Linked DNA regions of Nothobranchius furzeri. The protein of the gene in region 1 interacts with the protein of each later gene in a pairwise test. Links are inferred from orthologs where the notes say so. Each region holds a gene or a part of one and is shown on either strand. Other genes may lie near its edges.

Region 1 (4,352 bases):
GTCTGACCACTTTGGTGTAAAGAGGAGTTCATGTTTGACTCAGTCACTGCAGAAATAAGCCCAAATCATCAGCCCCCTGCCACCGTGCTTTACAGAGGACAGGAGGTGTTTGAGCTGACCTGGTGCACTGTTTTAACCAAAAGTGATGGCTTGTTTACTGACCTCGGCCTGAACTCTGTGCTGCAGACTCAGGAAATCTGCCCTGAAGGTTTTCCACCTTTCTCACTGTAAATATGTAACGTCACACTTCTGGATAGGATTTTACAATCCTGTCAGAGTGTGAGGAGGACAATCAAAATCCAATCCGATCACTATGCAAACAAAGCAGCCAGTAACAAACATACTTCTTTGAAGGTTCTCAAAACTAAAAGTCTATCCTTTACAACAGGAGGGGAATGTTGAGCCTTTTTTGTACGTAAACTCCAAAAGAAAACAAAACAACAGTTGCGTTGACGGCAGGTTTCTACTTGTTGCATCGACCAAAGAGCTGATGACAATCTACATTCCGACTTAAAAAGAAAAGTTCAACTGCCGATTTTTGGCATCACAGACTCCCAAACAAGAAAAAAGACACAAAGACTGTTTTGGCATTCATCGTGGCCGATTGAACCTGCATGTCTGTTGCAGGTGGGTCTGAACTCCTACCTCTGAGGAAGAAGGTGGTCCTGCTGCTACACCGTTAGTTAGGTTCTGACCGATAGTACTGGGTCCTTTAGTGTGGGAGGCCTGCTGTTGGTTGAGGCCCTCTACTGTGACGTCCTCCAGTCCAGGAATAGAGGACAGCTGCTCAGAACAATGTCACTGCATAAGTGAAAAGACAACATCCAGAAACGGTATCAAGGTCTCACAAGTTACCTTAGCCTCTAAAATGCTGAGTGTGGTTTCAATCTGCTGTATGCGAAGAGAAATGTTTGCAAGTTTCTGTGAAGAGAAGTAAAAAAAATAAATAAATACATAATTTGAGTTCATATTCTGAGGCAGAAGAAGCATTAAGGAGTAAAAAACAAACAAACAAACACAAACCTCTTCACACACGGTGGAAAACTGGTTAAGAAATCGTACGGTGTGCACAACAAACTGGTTGAGAAATCCAACGATTCGTCTCTGCTGTATTGCAGGAACCTGAGAAAAGATAAAAGCAGTATAATTAAAAACTTACCAAGTGTTACTATAGTTTATTTTACTAAACATAAACCTCTAGTATAATTGATTTTTGAATGTTATGGCTTTAAATAATATTGAGGGGATTCTAAAATGACTTTTAACTACTGCTGTTAAAATGTTTTTTGTAAATCTTTATTGAAACAAAGCAGTACAAAACAACAATTAACACCAGGGAGAATAAACAACATCTACATAAACAGACCAGGGTCATGTGTTAGCAGTGTTATTTAAACAACACAATAACATACAGTAACCTGTGGATTATTGCAAAGTTTCAAGTATTTGAGAGAATTTTAAAAGCAGCTGAGTTCTACCTTTAAAGTCTTGCATCAAACAAAATGCTAATGGCAAAAAGAATGATGAAAACTATCAAATCTGATTTTCTGTGTTGGGTAGTTACTAATTATATTTACTTGAGTATTTTTAGGAAAAAGAAATGCAACATTTTAATTAAGTCTTTACATTATATAATTTATCATATAACATTATACTATTATCTGTTTGAATGGATTTTATAAATTAAAGGAGCTGTTATGATTACTCATTATTTGAGCAGCTTTTTTGCAAACACAGTTTTTGTACTTTTTTTTAACTACTCAAGTAAACATATATGAAAGTAATGCTACTCTTATTTGAGTATAATCTCTGGCTACTCTACCCACATGTCTGACTTTGCATATAATGGATGCAAATCGGTGTGGAGGAAAAACATTTGGAATAACAGACTACTGTATATCAGGTGTTGTGCCGAAAAGAGCACGCCTACCGAAATGTGTATCCCCGTCGAAAGACGCAAATTGAAGAAGAATTTGAATTATGAGCAATTCAGAATTTGAACACGTTTCTAATCCGTGTTTCTCCTGAAAAGATTTTGTTTTTGACTACAAATATGATGAAATAATGATTAAATAATTGACCTTTTTCAACACGTTTGACACTAATGTTTTAGCAAGTATTAAACAATTTTGTTGGTTTAAAAAAGCAGACTCAAAATGACTAACCTTTTATATGTGCATTATATTACTTAAAATAAAACATGTTATAAACAGTAGTTTATTTTACTTATTTGCTCATAAACCATCATTTTGTAAGGAAGGATGCAGCTCATGTTGTACACATTTATTAAAAAGCGGTCTCATACGCGCCTTCCCGCAGGGGATGCACATTTTCGCAGACAAGCTCTTTTCGGCACAACACCGGTAATAGAATCTAATGAATGATGTATTCAAATAGAACATCAGTGTTCGGAGAGAAAACGTTCTTTCCTCTTTTGATACTTCTTTAGAACAAACCAAAAGGAAAATGACTAGGCAAACAGTTACAAGTAGGTGAAATTAGTTAGAAAAAGGCCACAGTTTTCTCTGCATTAGTGATTATATATTTTGTTAAAAAGCACAAACATAGCTTTGGGTTCTCAGGTTTTCAGTGTTAGCTAACCAGTTAGAAACACAAACCTTCGTAAGATCGACTCCTGACCCGACTAACGGCAGGCCGTCCTCGTCCATGTTAGCGTTTTACACTTCCTGTGAATAGGAATGTGGTTTCAGGTCTAATGGCACGAAATTTGAAAGAAAAAATGACATGAAACAAAACATTTACACCGTTGAAGGCTTCACGTGACACTGAGCAGTGTGACTGGCTACGTGATTACGTCACTCTAGGAAAAGGAAATGATTAACTTTTATTTTGAAGAGGCATCAATGCACTCGAATTCACACTTTTATATTTCGAGCTGTCGAAATTTTCTAAACTTTTTCTTTATCTAGTCATTGGCTTTGAAGTAAAAAAGAACTTGAAAATAATAGCATTCTGAAATTCATTAGAAAACACCAAAACACGTCTTTCAGACATATATTTTGAAAAGCGGAAACTTGAGTGAATACTTGAGGAAGCGATGCTTGCGCTCTAATAGCGCATTAGCCACCAAAACAAACAGCACAAATATACACAGATTCCTCAAATTCACTTGGTGGGATGCTTTAATGGAAGTTGTGGAATCAAAAGAAAAAATGGAGGGTATGTATGTTACCAGTTTGCCTTTCTGATATTTTCTGGAGACGTGTTTGTTTTACTATCAGTGGGCTCTGTCTATTTAAAGGAACCACAATGTTCATTATTTGGCAGACTGTTGTTGTTGCGCAGTGGAAGTTAGCTTGCTGTTAAATGTACAGACACTCTTACGCGATATATTGTTTTAACTAAGTTGCGAAGCTTTTGAGTAACATCTGTGGACATTTTCCAGATTGTGTATCTAAAATGTTAAAGATCTGTCCAGGATTTTCTCCAGTTCAAAAGCCTGTAGCTCAAATTCAATTCAAGTTTATTTATACAGCGCCAAATCACGACAAGAGTCGTCTCGAGGCACTTCACATAGTTAACATTCCAATACAGGTCAGTTCATTAAGCCAATCAGGAAAAAAAGTTTCCTATATAAGGAACCCAGCAAACTGCATCCAGTCACTGACTGGTCTCAGTGACTTTAGCAAGCAAGCAAGCAAATGACAGACAACAATGTAACAGATCACGTGATTGTTTTATTGCTTGATTGTTTTTAATTATCTGTATGAAGCCAATAACTGTTTCAGTTATGTGTAAAATGTGAGAACTTTGCAAAATCACATCGTGAAAATTTTATCCACCTGCTGTTTCCTGCAAGTACTCTGAATGCTCTCTGAATTAGGGGGTGTGTTACTGCCCTCCATCGGTCATTTCTGACTTTACACATTAATGTTTCAGACCCAAACTTCCCTTTGCCCTCCTTTCGCCTCCTGGTGCCTCCCTTGCATCTTCTGTCTGCTGCTATGTGGAATCTGATGAAGGGGAAAGATGTGATGAACTATGGGAAGCTGCAGGAGTTTGTGTCCATGCTGACAGAAGCAGTTCCTGGTTTGATCAACCACAGACAGAGAGCGCATCTCCTTCTCGGATTGAAGGCCAGGGTGAATGGTGTTTTGTTTCACATGCAAACGTTCTTGTTTTGGTGTCTCAGTCGTGCATTAACATATTTTGATGATATTTCAGTTGATTTTGGAGTTGTGCAAGGGTTCTGCTCGACACGATGTTGATTCTGATGTGATCCAGACCTACTTGGAGGGATTCCCAGTTACCTCTGCAACCACAGACGTATGTAAACTAATGATACTTGATGCAAATGTCAATGTTTTCTTGAAGAGCGCTCTCTGAGTGAT
Region 2 (3,888 bases), on another chromosome or scaffold:
CATAAAACACCTCCAGTAACATGCTGCAGTGTCCACTATGACCCACACATTCAGAGCGAACAGCTAGCTGAGTGTGTGGAGTTTAGAGAGGTGCCGGTGTTGTTTGTTCCATCTGTTGAGAAACCAACTCATCAAAGCTAGGAGGTACAGCCCATGAACTCACCACTGTGCTGTTTCACTGATGTTCCAGTCAGCTAGTGGACTAATTACACAGCAGCAGCTGTAGAGATGCTTTTGCCATCAGAGCACAAACAACAAGCTCTCTGTTCATATTATAAGAAAACTTTAAACATCATTTTGGTGTGCAGTGCAGAAAATGTGATGAACACATGATTAGCCAACAAATGCTGGAGCTGATGGAGCAAACCCATCCTTTAATAATATCTATTAAACACCTGGTTCATCTGCAAGTTTATAAATGCAAACGTTTTATTTATTTATTTTTTAATTCAACATGTTTTCAGCACGTGAAATAGTCTCTCATGGTTGGACGTTTAAACTCACACACACCAGATGCTGAGTGGCACACAGGAGAACAAGTTCAGGTTATGTAAGCAAATAGTTTCATGGGGCAGGGCCAACTTTAACAACACCCGCAACATCAACATAGGGCTACTGGGTTGGAGTTACTGCGCGCACACAAATATATATATATATAAACATGGAATGTGTGCTCTTTTATGCTGAATTCATAATTAAATCCAAAAAGTATTAATAAATAACAACACGTCCCTACTAAACTGGTAGTTTGCAAAGCGCTACTTGATACCCGCGGATCTGATTCGCTCTCTGGAATTATGATGTCGCGACATTCCTAAACATCCTCTGCTGCTGCTTTACTTACCAGGCGCCTTCATTCACGTCCCGTCAGTGTGAAACAAACTTATTTATGTACAAGGCTCCACTCTCACGCAGTCTGGGCGTGAAAACACACGGAAACTCTTGGCAGCTCCAAGTTTCAAATCCAAACTTGCTGAAAACGGAGGAAGACGTGCGCGCTCGGCCGTGCGCATGCACGCGCTCGCGCGGACATGAACATGTTTTCTTATGAAAGGCTACAACCTACAGTATGTAAGTATGTACAGTCTATGGCTACAACCGATTCATGTAATGGACAATTAGAGCCTACACTCATAAAGAAGCGCGTCTCTTGGCAAGCTGAGCATGAACTACACAAGTACCGTGCATGTTTTCCCATCAGAACTCCATCTTCCACACGGCCCAGCACCACTCAACTCTCGCGAGACTTGTCTTTGTTGTGGGAACAGCTGACTGCAGAAGATTCTACCGAGTGTTAGTCTGTTCTGAGCGGTCCAATAGTAAAACGGTGATTTATAGCTGATTTATTGTATTGTGAAGGCACGGATTAACATTCACAACATGGCTGAGACGGATCCCAAGACGGTGCAGGACCTTACAAATGTGGTGAGTCGTGACCGTGATGCAAGCTAGTGCTACTAGCTACTGCTAGCTTGCATTGCTAGTAAGATTGCTCAAGTGTATTTGGGTATTCACATAATCACGCTTACTTGTGTAAATATTCCAGTTTAACACGTCTGTTGATCAAATGTTGCATTAGCTAAACTGTCCTGACATTTAGCTTAATCAGTCACAACAAACCGCTTTAGCATTCGTTACTGTAGGATGCATTATTACATCAGTAAGATTTATTGAACAATTAAGACATGTTTTCAATTGTTCTCTTTCAAATGTGATATTAAACAGCACATTTGCGCGTTACGTAATCATTTAGTGTCTCACAAAGACATCTTGGCCAATGTTTCAGTGTTTCCATGGAGATGAGCATTCGTGAGAGGCGTTTAAGAGCTGAATGACCCCTCACAGCTAGCTGCCTTTTGAGATGACCAGAGTCCTAACTGCGAATGTGTGGGTGTTTTCTCTGTCCACCACACATCCTCTAAGAATGAATTAAAAGCAGATCTCCATGGTTACCAATCTTTTCCTCCGTTGGCATGGGGACACAGCTGATGGATTTTCGCCTCTTTTAGATATCGTTCATAGATCACAGGCTTTGTTTTCAATTCCCAGATACCGGTAATTAAAATGTCACGACTGTTTCACATCCTAAGAAACTAATCAACTATACATTTGACTATTTTGATGTGTATTATATCAGCGTCATCATTTCTTGATTAACACCTTGTTTCTTCTACAGGTTCAGACACTGCTGCAGCAGATGCAGGACAAGTTTCAGACCATGTCAGACCAGATAATTGGAAGGAATATCCTAACAATTTTAATGAACAGAGCATTGTCATTCAAATCTACTAAATACTTTTCCTTTTAATCACATACTAACGGATTTCACCCAGGAAAGTGTTAGTTTTCTGGTTTTCCTTAACCAAATCTCTACTTGATGAGATGAGCACGCGTATTGATGACCTAGAGAAGAACATCGCTGACCTGATGACTCAGGCCGGCGTTGAAGAGATTGAGGCAACGCCGGAAAAGGCTAAAGAGGGTCAGGGATCGTAATGAAGGTAAAAAGTGAAATGGTATACCAAGGCTGGAGGGCCACCGTCCAGCATGTTTTAGTGGTTTCCTTCTTCGACAGACTTAATAGTTGTATTACCCGTTTATGTTGTGGCAAGGTGGAGAAACATGGACCTGGGCGGGATTCGATCCGCAGACTCCCGGGTGAGAGTCACATGTGCTAACCAGTCAGCCAAAGGGACATCCCCATGGCCAAGTAGCCAGGGACAGGATGTTCACCCTGTCACAATGCCATCAAAGTCTGTAGAAGCTTGTTATTCATCCACTGATCAAATGCAGGCGTGTGAAAGCTGAGAAACCTTTAAAGTTTGCAGGATGGTGGCCCTTGAGGACCAGGATTGGGGAGCACTGCTTTAGGACGTCATATTTGAATTTCTAGTTAGTACATTTTAAATTGCACGCCAGTTATGAATGCTTTTTTCTGTCTTACAGGTTTCTTAACCACGCGGTGTGAAGTCGGTCCAGTGTGTCTGGAGGCAGCAGGCTTCACTAAAACTTACTTATGACTTATGTTAGATGTTTTTATATACTGAATATTGTGAGATGGTTACGGTAATGTTAAAGCTAAAGGTTGAGCATCATTTGCAAGGTAGAATAGTTTGATATGTCTTTCTGATCTTCAGGTGGAAGAAAGCAGTTTCTAGAGGTTCTTTAGCTGCCAGCGTTTAATGTGTCAGTCCCCGTATGTGATGGTGCAGCTGGATCCATGTCGGTAAAGCTCGTCTGAGGAGCAAACCCCACTGGCTGCCAGGCCGCAGCATGGATACGACATACTGAACGGGCTGCCGTGTTTGACCACCAGCCCTGTTGCTCCAGATGTGCTAAATGCATTCCACGTCTGATCTATTAAAGCTATCTCTATACTGCAGTTTGCAATCCATTTCAGTGGTTTGATTAGTTTCTGAATAACTAAAGTTAACGCTAGGGTGCTTGTTTTATACGTTATAAGCCAGAACTGTGCTGTACATTATTCACAGTACTATGCAAAAGTCTTGAGCCACCTATTTAAGTATGTAGGCCTTTACATTTCTTCTTAATCTTTGTATGCAAACTTCAGATTTGATGGTTTAGGCTTGAAAAAGCAGTTACACCTGATCACCCAGGGTTGCCCACTTTTTGCCACATTTTACCTCCATCCCATTTGCTTTTTTACTCTATTTTGAGGACATCCGGCACCTAAAACTGAGATTTTCTATTTTCATTAGTGAATGAATTAATGTTAGGATAATTATTCTGCAACGCGTCTAATATTGTAAGAGTCCAGCTTCATAAAAGGACTGTCTGGCTTAAGACTTATGCACAATACTCCATCTGGAATATGTGAATGTTGCATGCTCCAACTTCTTCATGCATTAAATAACATTTTGTTGTTGG

Evidence for each region. The genes of interacting proteins can lie anywhere in the genome.
Region 2: the proteins of washc3 (region 1) and hsbp1b interact in binary tests that used the Homo sapiens proteins (3 or more experiments, as listed by UniProt). The two-hybrid records come from large-scale screens. The link is inferred for Nothobranchius furzeri from reciprocal best matches to the Homo sapiens genes WASHC3 and HSBP1.

The regions. Positions count from the first base shown.
Region 1 is NC_091741.1:43,372,335-43,376,686, forward strand, and holds the start of washc3 (WASH complex subunit 3), read right to left. Parts: upstream 2,805-4,352; 5' UTR 2,670-2,804; coding exon 2,619-2,669; intron 1,123-2,618; coding exon 1,024-1,122; intron 922-1,023; coding exon 856-921; intron 784-855; coding exon 646-783; intron 1-645. Other genes in the region: uncharacterized protein, read left to right, coding at 3,147-3,180, 3,901-4,103, 4,186-4,287. UniProt on the Homo sapiens protein: Acts as a component of the WASH core complex that functions as a nucleation-promoting factor (NPF) at the surface of endosomes, where it recruits and activates the Arp2/3 complex to induce actin polymerization, playing a key role in the fission of tubules that serve as transport intermediates during endosome sorting.
Region 2 is NC_091744.1:87,756,937-87,760,824, reverse strand, and holds hsbp1b (heat shock factor-binding protein 1b), read left to right. Parts: upstream 1-1,286; 5' UTR 1,287-1,380; coding exon 1,381-1,425; intron 1,426-2,176; coding exon 2,177-2,243; intron 2,244-2,374; coding exon 2,375-2,496; 3' UTR 2,497-2,501; intron 2,502-2,946; 3' UTR 2,947-3,382; downstream 3,383-3,888. UniProt on the Homo sapiens protein: Negative regulator of the heat shock response. Negatively affects HSF1 DNA-binding activity. May have a role in the suppression of the activation of the stress response during the aging process.